3 linked regions of the Arabidopsis thaliana genome follow. The protein of the gene in region 1 interacts with the protein of each later gene in a biochemical or structural test. Each region holds a gene or a part of one and is shown in the gene's direction. Other genes may lie near its edges.

Region 1 (5,675 bases):
TATTCTATAATCTATACCATACAGCTCCATAAGAATAACATGACTATCTAGATCGTCATTAATGGCTGTTTGTGTATAGCATTTTTGCTAAAATGTTTTTAGTTCATAACCTTCAATTCTGAAAGTGCGACTTTTGCCAAAGAAAACCTATATCGTAATTTAAAAAAAAACAAAAATATAAATTCGATTTTGACACCTTGAAAACTATATATTACGAGGTGTACGACTACGAGTAACTAGTAATTGACTTTTTATAGGGGAGTGATGTTTGCTAGAAATTGTGGAAAAGTTATGGATATTTGAGTTATCACTGAAAAATATGTTTATAAAAAATGGAGAAGACTTAAAATATAACATTTTTAAAAATATTATGTACAGAAACAAAACCATGGTTTTGCATGGAAGAAATAACAAAATTAATATGAACCCAAAAAAAAAAAAAAAAAAAAAGTGAATTTAATGATAAATAGTTAAAGAAAGTGACGTAACATGACAATATAACATGTAACAAATGGATAGAGATGAAATTAAAAAAAACGGATCCGTAAAAACGGCCGTCAAGATGAAGGAAGCAGACTCGGTCCCTACCGTTTTAGATCTAATAATAATAGGACACGTGTTCAAATCTCATGAATTTTAGTAGAGACCACAAAAGTTCCAACCGCGTATAGTTATTGAAAGCTATATTGTGGGACCCATTAACACGTGGATCCATCACGTGCTGTCAGTTTGAGTTTCCTGAAGGATACAAATGAATATATTCTTTTCTTTTTAATACAGTTGATAGAAAGAGGCCGTTAATGACGGCGTTAAGCAATGTAACGGGAATCTCTTTGAATGATTTGACGTCGACGGACGCCGGCTGTTATGCTTAAAAACGGGTTTTCTTGTCACACCATTTTTTTTGCCTTTAATTAATTGTATTTCGAGCTATGAATGCTTAGTAATATTACACTATTAGGTTTTGTTTGCTTGATGATTTTTTTATATAGTCGGAACTTTAATATTGTCATCAAATATCATTAAATTTAATGTTTTCATTCGTGTTTTATTTAGTTTTTGTTGTTTTCGTAAGTTTTAAGTGGCTAGTTATATTTTTTATTTAGACTTTGACAGTAACAGTAGATTAGCATAAGCCTAAGTTAACTTTGTCAAGTTAAAAAGATCGAAGATACAACATCTGAAATCTCGATATATATTTATTATTATTATGAAAGCTTTTAAAATTATATGCATCTTGGAAATTAGAAGAAAAAATATGACCTAATTAACGTTTAATACTTGAAAGTTACTTCTATAAAAGAGAACTCGAAAATTGAAAATACATTGGTCCGATGATTTTTCAATACCCAATTATAGAATCCCTTTTAGAGATTTTTTTTTGTACATAAACTGAACCTGTAGGACTTAAAGTTACTGTAAAATTACTAGTACTGTACTTTTGTTAAAACCAAAATTTACTATTCTTTTATCTGATCATACGCAATTTTAGATTTATGTTTTCGATGGCTGAGCTTCAAACAACTTGTTGGAAAAAATAAAATAATAATCTCTTACAATTCAAAATGTGATTATATATCATTATTTTTTTACATCCAAGACATATGGTTAAATTATTATTACCATAAAGAAACTGGGAAGTAAAACAGTATCATGCTATCATGAAGTGAGTTCAGCTTTTTAAGTTGAATTTAATTATCCTCTGAAAAAGAGCATCTTCAGTTCTTCCATCAAAAGAATCAACTAAAAAGCCCTAAATCTCCTATTTTATAGATTTGACAAAAGTTTAATGATTCTCTTAGACTTGTAATTACTTTCTTCATCAATTAAACTAAAATTATTATATAGTTAAAAAAACAAACTCATAATATATCTATTCAGTAGATCCACAATTTTTTATATTACTCCATCAGATCTTGTAAATCAAAACAAAAAAATACACATCACAATGAATGTAAATATCACTTCAAATATACAGAAATTCTAAATGTTTTTACACACTTTATTTTTTTTTACGTATATGAAAATAAAAATAAAATTAGTAATGTGTGTTGTAATTTCACAGCCTTATCACTTTAGATGTGTATGTATGTTACTCTTTCTGGTACATTATTCATTGGTCGTCGAGCCCCATCACCACCATTCTTTTTCTTTTCTTTTTTTAATTTTCATCCAGAATAAATATCTTTTTATTTTAATAAATTTATATTTTCTGGTAAATAAAATAAATATTTTTTGAGAAATTTTTTTATTATTATTTTGAGAAATTATTATTATTAGTTCTGGTATGAATGATGATTGAAGTGGTAGTAGCAGTGAAAAACAAAAGCAATCCAATCCCAAACCCATTTGCTCTTAAGATTCTTCACATAGAGAAGTCACATGTTCCTTCTTCTTCTTCCTTCATCATCCCCAAACACACACAAACTAAAAAAAAGGCAAAACCCTAGATCCAAGATCAGACCTAATCTAATCGAAACTCATAGCTGAAAAATGAAGAGAGATCATCACCAATTCCAAGGTCGATTGTCCAACCACGGGACTTCTTCTTCATCATCATCAATCTCTAAAGATAAGATGATGATGGTGAAAAAAGAAGAAGACGGTGGAGGTAACATGGACGACGAGCTTCTCGCTGTTTTAGGTTACAAAGTTAGGTCATCGGAGATGGCGGAGGTTGCTTTGAAACTCGAACAATTAGAGACGATGATGAGTAATGTTCAAGAAGATGGTTTATCTCATCTCGCGACGGATACTGTTCATTATAATCCGTCGGAGCTTTATTCTTGGCTTGATAATATGCTCTCTGAGCTTAATCCTCCTCCTCTTCCGGCGAGTTCTAACGGTTTAGATCCGGTTCTTCCTTCGCCGGAGATTTGTGGTTTTCCGGCTTCGGATTATGACCTTAAAGTCATTCCCGGAAACGCGATTTATCAGTTTCCGGCGATTGATTCTTCGTCTTCGTCGAATAATCAGAACAAGCGTTTGAAATCATGCTCGAGTCCTGATTCTATGGTTACATCGACTTCGACGGGTACGCAGATTGGTGGAGTCATAGGAACGACGGTGACGACAACCACCACGACAACGACGGCGGCGGGTGAGTCAACTCGTTCTGTTATCCTGGTTGACTCGCAAGAGAACGGTGTTCGTTTAGTCCACGCGCTTATGGCTTGTGCAGAAGCAATCCAGCAGAACAATTTGACTCTAGCGGAAGCTCTTGTGAAGCAAATCGGATGCTTAGCTGTGTCTCAAGCCGGAGCTATGAGAAAAGTGGCTACTTACTTCGCCGAAGCTTTAGCGCGGCGGATCTACCGTCTCTCTCCGCCGCAGAATCAGATCGATCATTGTCTCTCCGATACTCTTCAGATGCACTTTTACGAGACTTGTCCTTATCTTAAATTCGCTCACTTCACGGCGAACCAAGCGATTCTCGAAGCTTTTGAAGGTAAGAAGAGAGTACACGTCATTGATTTCTCGATGAACCAAGGTCTTCAATGGCCTGCACTTATGCAAGCTCTTGCGCTTCGAGAAGGAGGTCCTCCAACTTTCCGGTTAACCGGAATTGGTCCACCGGCGCCGGATAATTCTGATCATCTTCATGAAGTTGGTTGTAAATTAGCTCAGCTTGCGGAGGCGATTCACGTAGAATTCGAATACCGTGGATTCGTTGCTAACAGCTTAGCCGATCTCGATGCTTCGATGCTTGAGCTTAGACCGAGCGATACGGAAGCTGTTGCGGTGAACTCTGTTTTTGAGCTACATAAGCTCTTAGGTCGTCCCGGTGGGATAGAGAAAGTTCTCGGCGTTGTGAAACAGATTAAACCGGTGATTTTCACGGTGGTTGAGCAAGAATCGAACCATAACGGACCGGTTTTCTTAGACCGGTTTACTGAATCGTTACATTATTATTCGACTCTGTTTGATTCGTTGGAAGGAGTTCCGAATAGTCAAGACAAAGTCATGTCTGAAGTTTACTTAGGGAAACAGATTTGTAATCTGGTGGCTTGTGAAGGTCCTGACAGAGTCGAGAGACACGAAACGTTGAGTCAATGGGGAAACCGGTTTGGTTCGTCCGGTTTAGCGCCGGCACATCTTGGGTCTAACGCGTTTAAGCAAGCGAGTATGCTTTTGTCTGTGTTTAATAGTGGCCAAGGTTATCGTGTGGAGGAGAGTAATGGATGTTTGATGTTGGGTTGGCACACTCGTCCACTCATTACCACCTCCGCTTGGAAACTCTCGACGGCGGCGTACTGAGTTTGACTCGAAGCATACGACGGTGGTGGAGTCGAGTCGAGTGAATTTGAGATTGAGATCAGTGGACCGGTGATGACATATGTTCGGACCAAGACCTAAACCGAACTGAATCGAACCGTTTTGCCTTTTGTTTATTTTATTTATTTTCGTTCACTTGTTTAAAATTCTTATATATATCGTTTTGGTAGGTCATTTTTAATTTATGCCTTTTTGGGATCAATTTTTAATAGGCTGAGTTTGTATTTATTAATAAATTATCTTTATGAATTTTAAACTAAAACTATGTTTTAATCTCATTTAAAAAAAAATTAATATCAAGTTTTATTAATCTCAATTTCTTGGCAAAATAATTTTTTTTTATCGACTTCACTAAGTATGAACAGTAATAAACTAATAATTAGTGAATTTAGATATTTCTAATTTGTTAATGAGGTTTATTTTATAAAGTAAAGTTGAGAAAGAGAAAGGGATGATAGTGAGTTATAACTATTGTTACAAAGAGTACTAACTACTAAGCGATAATTTCATGAAAAAGGTTTTGATACTTTTTTTAGTGGAGTGTGATTTAACAATTTTGGCTCATATTTTTAACTAATTTCTCATTGGCTGTAATCATATCGAAAAGCCAAAGTTTATGAATTGTGGTGAAGAATATAGTAAATATTTATTTAGATCGACACATCAACTTTTAGATCCGATGTTTTAATCTTTAGAAATGTTTAGTATTTTCTAATTGCAGGCGTATGTAACTTATTAATGTTAAACAAACCCTCGTGTAGTCTCGTAGACTCTCATAGGAGATATATATTAAAGTCTATAACCTGGTCTAGATGTATAGTTTATGTGTAATTAGTACATGATATTTTTATAAACCGCCGGAACAACTTTTGAAATAAGATAATCTCCTAAGTATTTTAAATGAGCTCGAATTATTTTTAGTTAGAGGATTATTATAATTAAGGTTCCAGAAATTAGTAGAAGCTCAGTCTTAAAAGTATTGAACCGACCTATCAAAAATTTAAATCAATAATCTCAGTTTTTTTTTGCCATATACATTTATTATTTATTATAAATTATGAAAATTGTTACATAGACGATTTTACTACGAACAATTTTTTCTAATCTTTATTAGATTCACGATAGACCACACATTATTCTTCTTCTTCATGTGATTGATGGACACTTTCAATATCTTCTCTGTGTAAAATCTTAACGAATGGTTAGAATTGTATTTTGTTGTAGATCTCTTGCATACTTACCTCCATTAATCTGCAAATTTGCTAATATATCGCAGTAATTGAAATTCAAACCTCTACTTTTTGGTATAGAAACATTAATGAACCCTTCGTCAATTATTGGACCAAAGGAGCTTCCACTAATCTTGATTAATAATGAATAATAATCCACATTTTTTAATC
Region 2 (4,484 bases), on another chromosome or scaffold:
TGTGATCACACTACTTTTGTACCAAAAACATGGGAGCCTTTATATACATGATGCTTACAGTTGTTTGTTCTTACACTTTGGGAACATGAAACACAATGTAGAGAGACTCTAACTCGGTTCTGTGACTGGAGCGCCAGCTAAGCAAACGAGGACCATAACAAAAAAAATGCTTTTCACATGAAGGAACTTGAAGAATCAGCTGTTTGTGTTCAAATCTTTTGGTTGAAATGTTGTCTCAACGAGCTTGCTATGATCTCGAACTGTGGCCCTGTAACCTGATTTTCCCTGAGGTGTAGACACGGAAACCATTGGTAGAGGAAACAAGTTTGATAGGTTTGTGTATATTGGTAGAGGTGTTATAGCATCTATAGGGCCTAGGCACATATACTGGCTTGATGAAACAAGTGTTTTCAAGGTGTGGAATCGCATGGAGTTGGGAGGGAAGATCGATTTCAAACTCTCCCAATTCATCAGTAACAGCCTTAATCCATTTGGACCTCCTTTTGGATCCAGTGTGGCACTTGATGGCAACGGTGGCACCTGCGAGGATCATGTTAGTATATATTCGGACGGAAGACAAGAAACATGAAGAAAAAAGGTAGAGAAACAAATACCTGGGATAGGGATGGAGTGAAGGTGAGGACGTGAAGTGTCGCAGAGAAGAGATCCGGTGATCACGACAGAGGAGAGTTTCTGTTCACCGTAGCCAGCCATCTCCACCATTTCCGTTCTGGTCCATAAATTATTCCCAAATGCTCCGGTGAACAAGAAGAAAGAGAGTAACAAGAAGCAACGGATGATGAAGAAGCTTCCCATCGTTAAAAACAAAGAAAAGAGGTTTGTTTGTTTTTCTTTGTATTTTGTTAAAGAAATGAAAATAGCATGAATATATAGAGAAGAAGAAGGAAGCTAAAGAAGAGGAAGAGACCCTTTGCGTGGTGGCTTCAGGTCACACAGCTCTGTACGGCAGTGTCTCTCTTTATACCTTGTAGTAGCCTTTTTCTTTTCAGTTGTATCTTTTCTAAATATATTAAAAATCGTGGCTGACTTGTTAGGGTCAAATTTAGAGCTGAATCTTCCAAATGAAACAATGAACCGAGAGCGAAAGAGAAAGAGAGATACGGCACTTGGAAGCAATTACTGAGTGGTTCGCCTACTCTTTCACTCCTTGTATAAGTATTATTTTAATAATAATATTTGGTGCAACGTTTTTGTATCTAGTGTGACGTTTCTCCTTTTCTTTATTTAATTAAGCCAATTCAGTTAGAGTAGTCATGCAGTAACCAAAAGATTCAAGCCTACCCTCAACTATACTCGCACACATTCAGCTTTGAACACAACGGCTTCAACATCGTGGGTTTGGTCGTGTCTACGTGCTCAGAATATCTAGTTGATGGTGGGAGTCAGCAGGGTTTTGACCAAACCACAGTTTCTCAAGTCCTCATTACATTGAAAAAAGTATGGGCTTAAAAGAAGCCTAGATATTGATAATAGGTCCATCACCTTTAATGGGCCATTCAGTTTGATTATCTTAACGGCCCATTAGGATTCTCCAGGTGGGACAAGTATTAGCTATGTCATTAAGAGCTTAATACAGCTGGAAGCTGGTGATTATTGTTAATGTTAACTAATCACACGCTTAGAAAAGCGACAATGGTTGGACCCACAGGAGAAGATCGAGACCGTCAAAAGTGGACAAAACTGGGACGCTTTTTGTTTCCAAACAGCTGTCTGATCTGATTGGTCGATGCAGTTTTGATGGCAATGAACCCCACCACAGACCACACCCTCATGATCCAACCCAATTCGCTCGTAACACAAAAAAAAAAAGAAGTGAAAAATTGACCGAAGGGTCGTTGAGTGGCAGTTACCCTCTGTCTCCCTAACGCCCACCTATCTTCTCCGTGTTTTCCACGCGCTATCTTTCTCTCTTCTGTGTGTTTACCACGCTCCTCTTATGCGCGTCGGCTCGTGACAAAAGTGTGCCGGGTCCACTAACTGTCCACAACACGTGGCAAAGCCTTAAAGGGCTGTCTATCTCTCAAACAAGATCAATTCCAATCCGACGGTCGAGCACGTATCCAGTTGTCAGAATCTTATCAGTAAACGGACGGTTCATATAAGATCACGTGTCAAGTGAGCAGAAGTCGTGCGTCCTCTCTTTATATAAGCTCCGGCGACTCCTTCACCACTGTGTACAATACCAGCCGACACTTAACAATTCACACCTGCTCTTTTTACTCTTTCTAAAACCCTAAATTTTCTCGCTTCAGTCTTCCCACTCAAGTCAACCACCAATTGAATTCGATTTCGAATCATTGATGGAAATGATTTGAAAAAAGAGTAAAGTTTATTTTTTTATTCCTTGTAATTTTCAGAAATGGGGGATTCCGACAGGGATTCCGGTGGAGGGCAAAACGGGAACAACCAGAACGGACAGTCCTCCTTGTCTCCAAGAGAGCAAGACAGGTTCTTGCCGATCGCTAACGTCAGCCGGATCATGAAGAAGGCCTTGCCCGCCAACGCCAAGATCTCTAAAGATGCCAAAGAGACGATGCAGGAGTGTGTCTCCGAGTTCATCAGCTTCGTCACCGGAGAAGCATCTGATAAGTGTCAGAAGGAGAAGAGGAAGACGATCAACGGAGACGATTTGCTCTGGGCTATGACTACTCTAGGTTTTGAGGATTATGTTGAGCCATTGAAAGTTTACTTGCAGAGGTTTAGGGAGATCGAAGGGGAGAGGACTGGACTAGGGAGGCCACAGACTGGTGGTGAGGTCGGAGAGCATCAGAGAGATGCTGTCGGAGATGGCGGTGGGTTCTACGGTGGTGGTGGTGGGATGCAGTATCACCAACATCATCAGTTTCTTCACCAGCAGAACCATATGTATGGAGCCACAGGTGGCGGTAGCGACAGTGGAGGTGGAGCTGCCTCCGGTAGGACAAGGACTTAACAAAGATTGGTGAAGTGGATCTCTCTCTGTATATAGATACATAAATACATGTATACACATGCCTATTTTTACGACCCATATAAGGTATCTATCATGTGATAGAACGAACATTGGTGTTGGTGATGTAAAATCAGATGTGCATTAAGGGTTTAGATTTTGAGGCTGTGTAAAGAAGATCAAGTGTGCTTGTTGAACAATAGGATTCACTAACGAATCTGCTTCATTGAATCTTGTATGTAACTAAAGCCATTGTATTGAATGCAAATGTTTTCATTTGGGATGCTTTTATGTTTTGGTGAGAGTTATGTAGTGATTCAAGTGTCAAAATGCTTACATAGAGAGGCAGCAAAGAAACCAGCTTCGTTAGAATCTGTGAGGAAAGCTCTGTTTGTTGAGAAAGAAGGTCAATTGCGCGAATGTAAGTCGCGGGTGTTGTAGTACAAGTTGCCTTGTTGATCAGGTGCAGAGACGCGGAGAGGAGTGAAGCCTTCGTAGTCTCCGTTGGTTTTAGCAGAGCAAATGTCTGTCATATACCTCAATAGCTCATAATTTTGTACAAATGGTTGATTTATGTATTCCTCCCAAGGCATCCACTGCACCAAATTCCCATTTTCAGAAAGAGAAGAGGTTTATGAGTGTTTTAGTGGATGAGACTGGAGAGTCGTTGAAGTGAGGAGCAAAAACTGTTACCTGAGCTGCCTCAATCTCTGACTCCTGTGCGTTGATCTCCAAAGAAAGGGGCTTTAACATGCACACGAAGAACAAATCTGACTTTCCAAAGAACGCTTTGTGTGTTTGTCTGCCAGAATTTTAAAACAGACGAGAATCAGTTATGTTGCAATATAGAAGATTATGCAGTTGGAGTTGCTACCTGAAGGCCAATATTTGGTCGAATTCTGTATCCACCTGAAAACATACGATGCAGAAGAGTGGGATTAGCTCTTGGTCTCATGTAAACTGTAAAGAGGACAGTGAAAAGTTGAGGCATGAAGAAGCCTTACTCCGGTCTCTTCTTTCACCTCTCTGACTGAGCCATCATGAATGTCTTCACCCTGACTCAACACAAACACAAAAAGGCGAATCAGAGAGCTGAACCTAACCATGTAATGAGCTTTAATAAGAACCAGCACCTCATTCACAACTCCGGTGGGGAACTTCCAGATACCTTGACCTTGAAATCTCCCTGTCTTCTCTTGAACCACCAGCACCTTTGGATTCAAATACAGAAAAGAAAAGAGATGTGATCCATTCTTGGAGATGTTCCAAAAAGACACACTAAAAATCTCATCTCATCAGTAATCAAACCTCTTTGTTGTGGTTAATGACAAAGGCACCTATGCCAACACGGTGAGATGCATTGGCAGGAAGCGTATCGTCTTCTTTGGGAATCCAATAGACAAGCATCAAGTAGTCTTTCTCCGCGTGGTGAAACCAGAATCCCTCCTACACATAATACACAACCAGTAAGTGATATGAAGACTCTCCAAACAATAAGCAAAAGGGGGTTTAAAGATATCTGATTGCGCATTAG
Region 3 (7,682 bases), on another chromosome or scaffold:
ATTGTTTCATTAAGCCAAATTAAGTATAATTTTTTGAATTCCCATCCAAATTCATGTGATTCTCTACCTCCTAAGATCCACCATGATCTTTGAATCAAATCATAAACAAGAAGCAAATCAAAAGCCCATTATTTACATAGTTTGACTTCCATTGACTTAGATGAACTATCTTACCTTTTTCTGAACCTTGAGAATTGAGATACATATAAGATGATGATAATATGCCTTATGAGGTGGAAAGTGGAACCACTTATGTTTCATTGTTAAACCAATATAGTATATCCAAATTAAAATATTATTTTCTCAGCTATATCCATATGTCATTTAGTATATGGGAAAACATACAGTTTTTTAACATAGAAGAGAGGATACAAACCAGTTAATAGCAAAATAGTGTCATGCTTCCATTGTCCTATACATAGCATTGAATCTCTCACATCTTCTCGTACATGCCCAAAAGTTTATGATTTTAATGGCCGTGTTTACAACATTATTTCTTCTGTGCCGTCTATGTCAAGAAAATAACAACATAGTATATACCCTATATATATATATATATTACTTCTTTTTTTAATTAGTTCCGTTTATATATATGAAAGAGGTCTTACAGAGGAGCCTTAATGCTCAGATACAATCAAATAAGATAAACATATAGAGACGAGTGTTCTAGTAAGATCAGTAAAGATGTGGTCTAATTTTGTTGGAAATTAGCAAACCATAGCGAAAGATAGGAGTCAGGAGATGGAGTTGTTGAAGTGAAGATGACGTCTTGATCCAAACCAGCAAGGCTTCATCGGATTAGGAGTTGAATTCCCCATTTAACTTGAGTTAGTATTCTGATTGAAAATAACAATATATATTAGTGTTACATAAGTTTGGATCAGACAAATTTTATATTGTTGTATCGAAAGCTATACCAAATTTCCTAAATATTACCCTCAAACATCAACACATCCGATTAATTTACCGAAACCTCCGATCAACAGCACTACGAATGTTTAGACTTTGATCTTGTAGGGGACCGAACGTGTATATATATTTTAATGTTTTCTGACGTCAACGTCTCTCTCTTTTCTAGATGTCAGAAAAGGAAAATAATAAGTACTAATGGTCCATTTAGCAGGGTTTTATTTAAAGTTATATTTTAAATAGTTGCATAAATACTTCGAAAATATAGGTTTAATAGTATAAGAGAATTTTGAAATATAATAATATTGTAAGTATATGACTATAGGGAGAATCAACGTCGAAAATGTCCATAACATTTTTATTCATTTTAAAGATGTGATTGCAAAAATTAAGATTGTGTCTGTACGTATTGGGGGAACTCCTCGAGGCCAAACATTAATTTCGTGTCTTTCTTTGTGTTTCCCAATTTTAGTAAAGACTGTTCTTATATTATCTCTTTCCTCCTCAATTTATCTATTATTGTGTTTGTGACTATAATTTAGATTCATAGCGATTAGCTTCGTTTTGACACCAAGTAAAAAGCTGATGATTTTACTATTATTATATATGTTAATCATATACTCTGATTTGAGACATTATACTTTTGGTCGTTTTGTGTACTTTTGGAAAATTCATAAAACGATGTTACTCACCGACAATAATATATTTCGATCACTCAAATAGTAATAAGACTGATTAGATTATACAAAATGAAAGAAATCATACGATGCTGGTTAGATTGGACTTGGATCACATGCTAATGGTATTCTAGTCAACATTGCTTCAAAGATCTAATAGTCAAGGAAACAAATTTTTTTTTTTTGGTATCAGTGGGGATATTAAGTGAGGGAAACATTTTTTTTCAAGAATAGATGGGTGAAAAGTTCAGCCTTGACGTGATAACATTTTAACTTTAAAATCAGTGTTGGAAGAGACACACAATGATTCAATATTCCCAAAAAAAAGAGATCTCTAGAACCACAAAGAGACTGAATAGAGAATTTATTGAAGACAAGACCACAACAATGGACATTGTAGTTCATTGTCTTAAAAAAAGGTTGTTCTTCCCAAATGAGGAACTAATCAATCAACTTCAAGATAAAAAGAGGAACAATCAATCAACATCAGCGTTTTGCTTTTTTCCTCTACTTTTGTATCCTTTTTTTTTCTCATAAATCATTAAAAAATTATAAGTACTTTTTATTTTCGTCATAAATGTCTTGTGTTTTGTTCTGTACACAACAAAGATGATATCGTCATATTCAAAGAAAAAAAGGATTCGTAGACAGTTCTTCTAGTCTTTCGAGTTCAAGCTCAAACAACAACAAAATTAATATTCAAAACAACATTAATAAAAAAAAAGTATGGAGTGACCAAAGAAAAAAAAAACTCTCAAACATTTCTCTGTTTGTTCCGGCGAAAACGGCAACTGTTTCATCAAATGACAAACACAAAAACCTTAACATCTAGTTTGTATCCTCTCTGATACTTCAAAAAAAATGTAAAGAGTTACAAGTTTCCCTTTTTCTTTCTTTTTTAGGCTATAAATTTAACATAGTATCTTATTTCTTTCTAAATCAGGACAAAAAGTTTGATTTTTTTCTTTTCTTTTCTTTTTCCCTGTGTGTGGTTTCATGGGATATAGGGATGAAGAAACAATGGCTACCGGACAAAACAGAACAACTGTGCCAGAGAATCTGAAGAAACACCTCGCAGTTTCAGTTCGAAACATTCAATGGAGTTATGGTATCTTTTGGTCTGTCTCTGCTTCTCAGTCTGGGTAAGTTTCTTAAATCATATTCATTGAACACTAGATATTGGAGATTTTGAAAGATATTGATGAAGTAAATTTCTTGATTTTAATTGGAAAATTAGATAAAACTTATGTGTTCACTTCAAATCAAAACTAGTGTTTAGTTCTACAACTCAAGACAAGGTTCTCTAGGTTTTTCTTGATTCCATTGATTTTTTCTTATAAACTCATATAAGGTTTCTTGATCTTCTTTAAAAGTTCAATTTTTTTTCTCTTCTTCTTGAAGTTCTTGATTAGTTCAAGAAAATGTTTTGTTTGTTTTCTTTATTCGATTTGATATTTGTTTTTGTTTTTCTATATATAAAAAGAGTTTTAGAATGGGGAGATGGATACTATAATGGAGATATCAAAACGAGGAAGACGATTCAAGCTTCGGAGATCAAAGCTGATCAGCTTGGTCTACGGAGGAGCGAGCAGCTTAGCGAGCTTTACGAGTCTCTCTCCGTCGCTGAATCTTCTTCTTCAGGCGTTGCTGCCGGATCTCAAGTCACCAGACGAGCTTCCGCCGCCGCACTTTCACCGGAAGATCTCGCCGACACCGAGTGGTACTATTTGGTTTGTATGTCTTTCGTCTTCAACATTGGTGAAGGGTAATTCCGTCTTTTCCTCTATCAGCATTGACATTTATTATGTGTCATGATCGTGTTGATCTTTGCCAGTTTTAAACAACGTGCCAAAATATACTTTTAATACTAGTAGGTCCAAGGATTTCGACTTTTATGGTTCAGTTTAGGTTTGTTAGATTTCAGGGTTCTGCAGGAAAAAAGTATGAGCTAGAACCAATTTTTTAGTTTCAGTTTGGTTTCAAAATTTAATGTCCGGATTTGGTCGGTTTCAGATTACAAAAGAAAAAGTTAAAACATAATTAATTTTAAATAATAATGTGTATATATATGCATTAGTATGTTTAACTCTATTCTACATCTAATAAATTTTATTAATTCGGTTTGGTTGCAGTATATTTGTGTTCGATTCGAGTTTAGTTCGGTTTATTTATCATCACAAAAGTTTGTTTCTGTCCGGATTAATTAAAAAATTCGTTTCATTTTGGTCTTTATGAACACGGCTAATTAACTTTCAATAATTATGAATATGTTAGGAAGAAAAAATGTGGAAAAATTAAGCTTAGAATGCATTGCTGCTTTCTAAATGAACCTGTCTTTTTGCAGAATGCCTGGACGGACGTTTGCAAACGGTGAACCGATATGGTTGTGCAACGCTCATACGGCGGATAGTAAAGTGTTTAGCCGTTCTCTTCTAGCAAAAGTAAGTTGTAGTATTGATGTAGTTGCTATGTAACACTTTTTTGCGATTTGAAAACACTAAAATCGTTCGTTTTTGTTTGCGTTTTGTGGTGGTTTAGAGTGCTGCGGTTAAGACAGTGGTTTGCTTCCCGTTCCTTGGAGGAGTCGTTGAGATTGGTACCACAGAACATGTAAGCCAATATTTGTGTTTTCTGCTTCCAATGTTTTAGAATAATTATTATGAAAATCCTTTATTAAGAAAAAAAGAATAATTATAAAATTACCACAATGTATTCTAACATTTCAATTTGACCCTTCAATCTGTCGAATAACGGTATAGACACCAAGAACACACAAACTAATATTTTAGTAGTCTCGATTTTTAAAGATTTCCACGGTTTGGTTATGACAAAACGCGAAAATACGGCTTTTGTACTTTTTACTAGCTCGTTGGTATAGTTATAATTGAAAACTTTTTCAAGGCTTTTTCTTGGTGTGTTTCGTCTCGTAGATTACGGAAGACATGAATGTAATACAATGCGTGAAGACATCATTCCTCGAAGCCCCTGATCCGTACGCTACAATATTACCAGCAAGATCCGATTATCACATCGACAACGTTCTTGATCCGCAACAGATTCTAGGCGACGAGATTTACGCGCCTATGTTCAGTACGGAGCCTTTTCCAACAGCTTCTCCGAGCAGAACTACCAACGGTTTCGATCAAGAACATGAACAAGTAGCAGATGATCATGATTCTTTCATGACCGAAAGAATCACTGGAGGAGCTTCTCAGGTGCAAAGCTGGCAGCTCATGGACGACGAGCTTAGTAACTGCGTTCACCAGTCGCTAAATTCCAGCGATTGCGTCTCTCAAACGTTTGTTGAAGGGGCGGCTGGACGGGTTGCTTACGGTGCAAGAAAGAGTAGAGTTCAAAGACTAGGGCAAATTCAAGAGCAACAGAGAAATGTGAAGACATTGTCATTTGATCCAAGAAACGACGACGTTCATTACCAAAGTGTGATCTCAACGATTTTTAAGACCAACCATCAGTTAATTCTCGGACCGCAGTTTCGAAACTGCGATAAACAGTCAAGCTTCACTAGGTGGAAGAAATCATCGTCATCATCATCAGGAACCGCCACGGTCACGGCACCATCACAAGGAATGTTAAAGAAAATTATTTTCGATGTTCCGCGAGTGCACCAGAAAGAGAAGTTAATGTTGGACTCACCAGAAGCCAGAGATGAAACTGGGAACCATGCGGTTTTAGAGAAGAAGCGCCGCGAGAAATTGAACGAACGGTTCATGACCTTGAGAAAAATCATTCCGTCAATCAACAAGGTATATTTATATAATCGATTCTTCAAAATTTCAAATCCATATATATCGCGAGGTAACTAATCTTATGTTTAACATTTTCGATAGATCGATAAAGTATCGATTCTTGACGATACGATAGAGTATCTTCAAGAACTCGAGAGACGGGTTCAAGAACTAGAATCTTGCAGAGAATCAACCGATACAGAGACTCGTGGGACGATGACGATGAAGAGGAAGAAACCATGCGACGCAGGAGAAAGAACATCAGCTAATTGCGCAAATAATGAAACAGGAAATGGGAAGAAGGTGTCGGTTAACAATGTTGGTGAAGCCGAGCCAGCAGATACCGGTTTTACTGGTTTAACCGATAATTTAAGGATCGGTTCGTTTGGTAATGAGGTGGTTATTGAGCTTAGATGTGCTTGGAGAGAAGGAGTATTGCTTGAGATAATGGATGTGATTAGTGATCTCCATTTGGATTCTCATTCGGTTCAATCCTCGACCGGAGACGGTTTGCTCTGCTTAACCGTCAATTGCAAGGTATACTCTCTAACCTACTTTTGGCTTAACCAGGATTTGGTTAACCTAGATTGACATGAAATGTGTTGGTTTCAGCACAAGGGGTCAAAAATAGCGACACCAGGAATGATCAAAGAAGCACTTCAAAGGGTTGCATGGATCTGTTGAAGACTACTTAGTTAAAATTGACAGCAAAGAAAAAACATTCCCGGTTTGGTTTCTATTCTTTGGTTTTCTTCTAACCGGGTTTTAGGAATTAATGTTATGTTTATCATTTGTTTTTTGTTTTTTTTTTGTGTCTTTTTTTCCGTTGCTTAACGTAGGTGAAGAGGAACATACACTATGCGTATTTTGTTTGAGGTAGATTATTTTAAGGGTATTAGTAATAGTAATAGCCAGTTTAGATGATTTTGTGTTCTTTTGTTGTTTAAGCACAAGGTTGATGTGAAATTACGGGGAAAAAAACATTAATGTGTAAATGAAAATTAGTGGTCAAAAAGCTTCACACGAAACGGGAGAAGATTCTGCATTTTGGCATTTTCATGGATAACAAAGAGGTAAAGTTTATGATAAGAAATCCAGATTAATTTCCTTAACTGGGTCATAAATGATTTCATTGAAATAACATAGTGAAAATCAACAAAAATAAATGCTGTAATATCTTATTTTTACAAATTTAGAGGTGTTGACCAAATTACTTTCTAATTTGCTTTATGTAATTTTACCTATCTAGTCATGTCTTATTATGTTTTACTTACCAACTCATGTTATTCTTTTCGTTTAATATCAAGGATATTTCAAACCCAAACTGAAAATAATCTTCATATATTAATGGAAAACCAGAGTACTCTTATCTTATCATTTAAAATCTTTGTGTTGACAAAAAAATCTTAAACAATAGTATAAAAACATGAATCTTATTCCTTTAAATTCTAAGGTGAATTCTAATTTACTTTCTAATTTGTGTAAAAATATAAAATATAGAAAAATGGGTAAACTTGATTATCAAGAAAAAGATCCAAATTGGAAAGCTAAAATATTGTTATTTAGAAGGTAGAACCAAAATTAATGACTAAAAATATTTTTCTTTGAATAAAATATACCTCATATGGAAAATATTTTTTCAGACAAAAACATAACTCCTTTCCTTTTTAACAGCAAAACCGAAAACATAAATTCAAAGATACATGTCGATTTTACACACAAAGTGTGCGATCAGACAAGACTCAAGGGAGAGATCGAGAATGGTGAAGATGGCCTGAAAATTCTTCTCTCCGGTAAGAACTTGCATTTACATGTTTTTATATATATCTCGGATATTTTTCTTAACTATGTGTGTACTTCTTAGTTCTCGAAAATGTAGTTTACAATAGTTTCTCTTTTGAATTAAGTCGAGATAATCGCAATACTACTCGGGTTTTACTAGATGCATTCTCTATTTACCTGTGTTACAGAGATGAATCCTTAATCTTGTATTTATGGATATGCTTTAAACAGTTTTCCAATTAATATTGGTTTATATTTGTTATCTCCTCGCCTAATATTCCATTGTTTAGAAGAACACTCCCATCTTTTTACAAAGTTGATGATGTGCTGATCCGTAATCCATTTCGATCTACAACAGACTTGTGTTGTTTATAGTTATCCATGTTGTGTTTTTTTATTCTTGCAGCTGTATGAAAAATCTTTGAAAGAAAGGTGCAATCTGTAAGAACAGAGTGAAATTAGACTGAATCTTTAAGAATGGGAGATGAGCCAAGATTCAGTGAGAAATGGGATTTCAGAAGGAAAGAGAACGACTTTGAAGATTCTTCAAGCGATGATCCAGATTCAA

Evidence for each region.
Region 2: the proteins of RGA1 (region 1) and NF-YB2 form a complex in vitro, tested with the Arabidopsis thaliana proteins (one study listed by BioGRID).
Region 3: the proteins of RGA1 (region 1) and GL3 form a complex in vitro, tested with the Arabidopsis thaliana proteins (one study listed by BioGRID).

Annotation. Positions count from the first base shown.
Region 1 is NC_003071.7:254,163-259,837, reverse strand, and holds RGA1 (GRAS family transcription factor family protein), read left to right. Parts: upstream 1-2,269; 5' UTR 2,270-2,493; coding exon 2,494-4,257; 3' UTR 4,258-4,591; downstream 4,592-5,675. UniProt on the Arabidopsis thaliana protein: Probable transcriptional regulator that acts as a repressor of the gibberellin (GA) signaling pathway. Probably acts by participating in large multiprotein complexes that repress transcription of GA-inducible genes.
Region 2 is NC_003076.8:19,307,034-19,311,517, forward strand, and holds NF-YB2 (nuclear factor Y, subunit B2), read left to right. Parts: upstream 1-2,193; 5' UTR 2,194-2,380; coding exon 2,381-2,953; 3' UTR 2,954-3,239; downstream 3,240-4,484. Other genes in the region: AT5G47635 (Pollen Ole e 1 allergen and extensin family protein), read right to left, coding at 248-540, 615-816; NUDT2 (nudix hydrolase homolog 2), read right to left, coding at 3,358-3,546, 3,644-3,752, 3,825-3,859, 3,955-4,005, 4,084-4,161, 4,259-4,396. UniProt on the Arabidopsis thaliana protein: Component of the NF-Y/HAP transcription factor complex. The NF-Y complex stimulates the transcription of various genes by recognizing and binding to a CCAAT motif in promoters.
Region 3 is NC_003076.8:16,526,851-16,534,532, forward strand, and holds GL3 (basic helix-loop-helix (bHLH) DNA-binding superfamily protein), read left to right. Parts: upstream 1-2,239; 5' UTR 2,240-2,447; coding exon of another isoform or gene 2,448-2,449; 5' UTR 2,450-2,582; coding exon 2,583-2,728; intron 2,729-3,069; coding exon 3,070-3,351; intron 3,352-3,930; coding exon 3,931-4,027; intron 4,028-4,124; coding exon 4,125-4,196; intron 4,197-4,516; coding exon 4,517-5,350; intron 5,351-5,434; coding exon 5,435-5,869; intron 5,870-5,944; coding exon 5,945-6,016; 3' UTR 6,017-6,437; downstream 6,438-7,682. Other genes in the region: AT5G41320 (stress response NST1-like protein), read left to right, coding at 7,592-7,682. UniProt on the Arabidopsis thaliana protein: Transcription activator, when associated with MYB75/PAP1, MYB90/PAP2 or TT2. Involved in epidermal cell fate specification.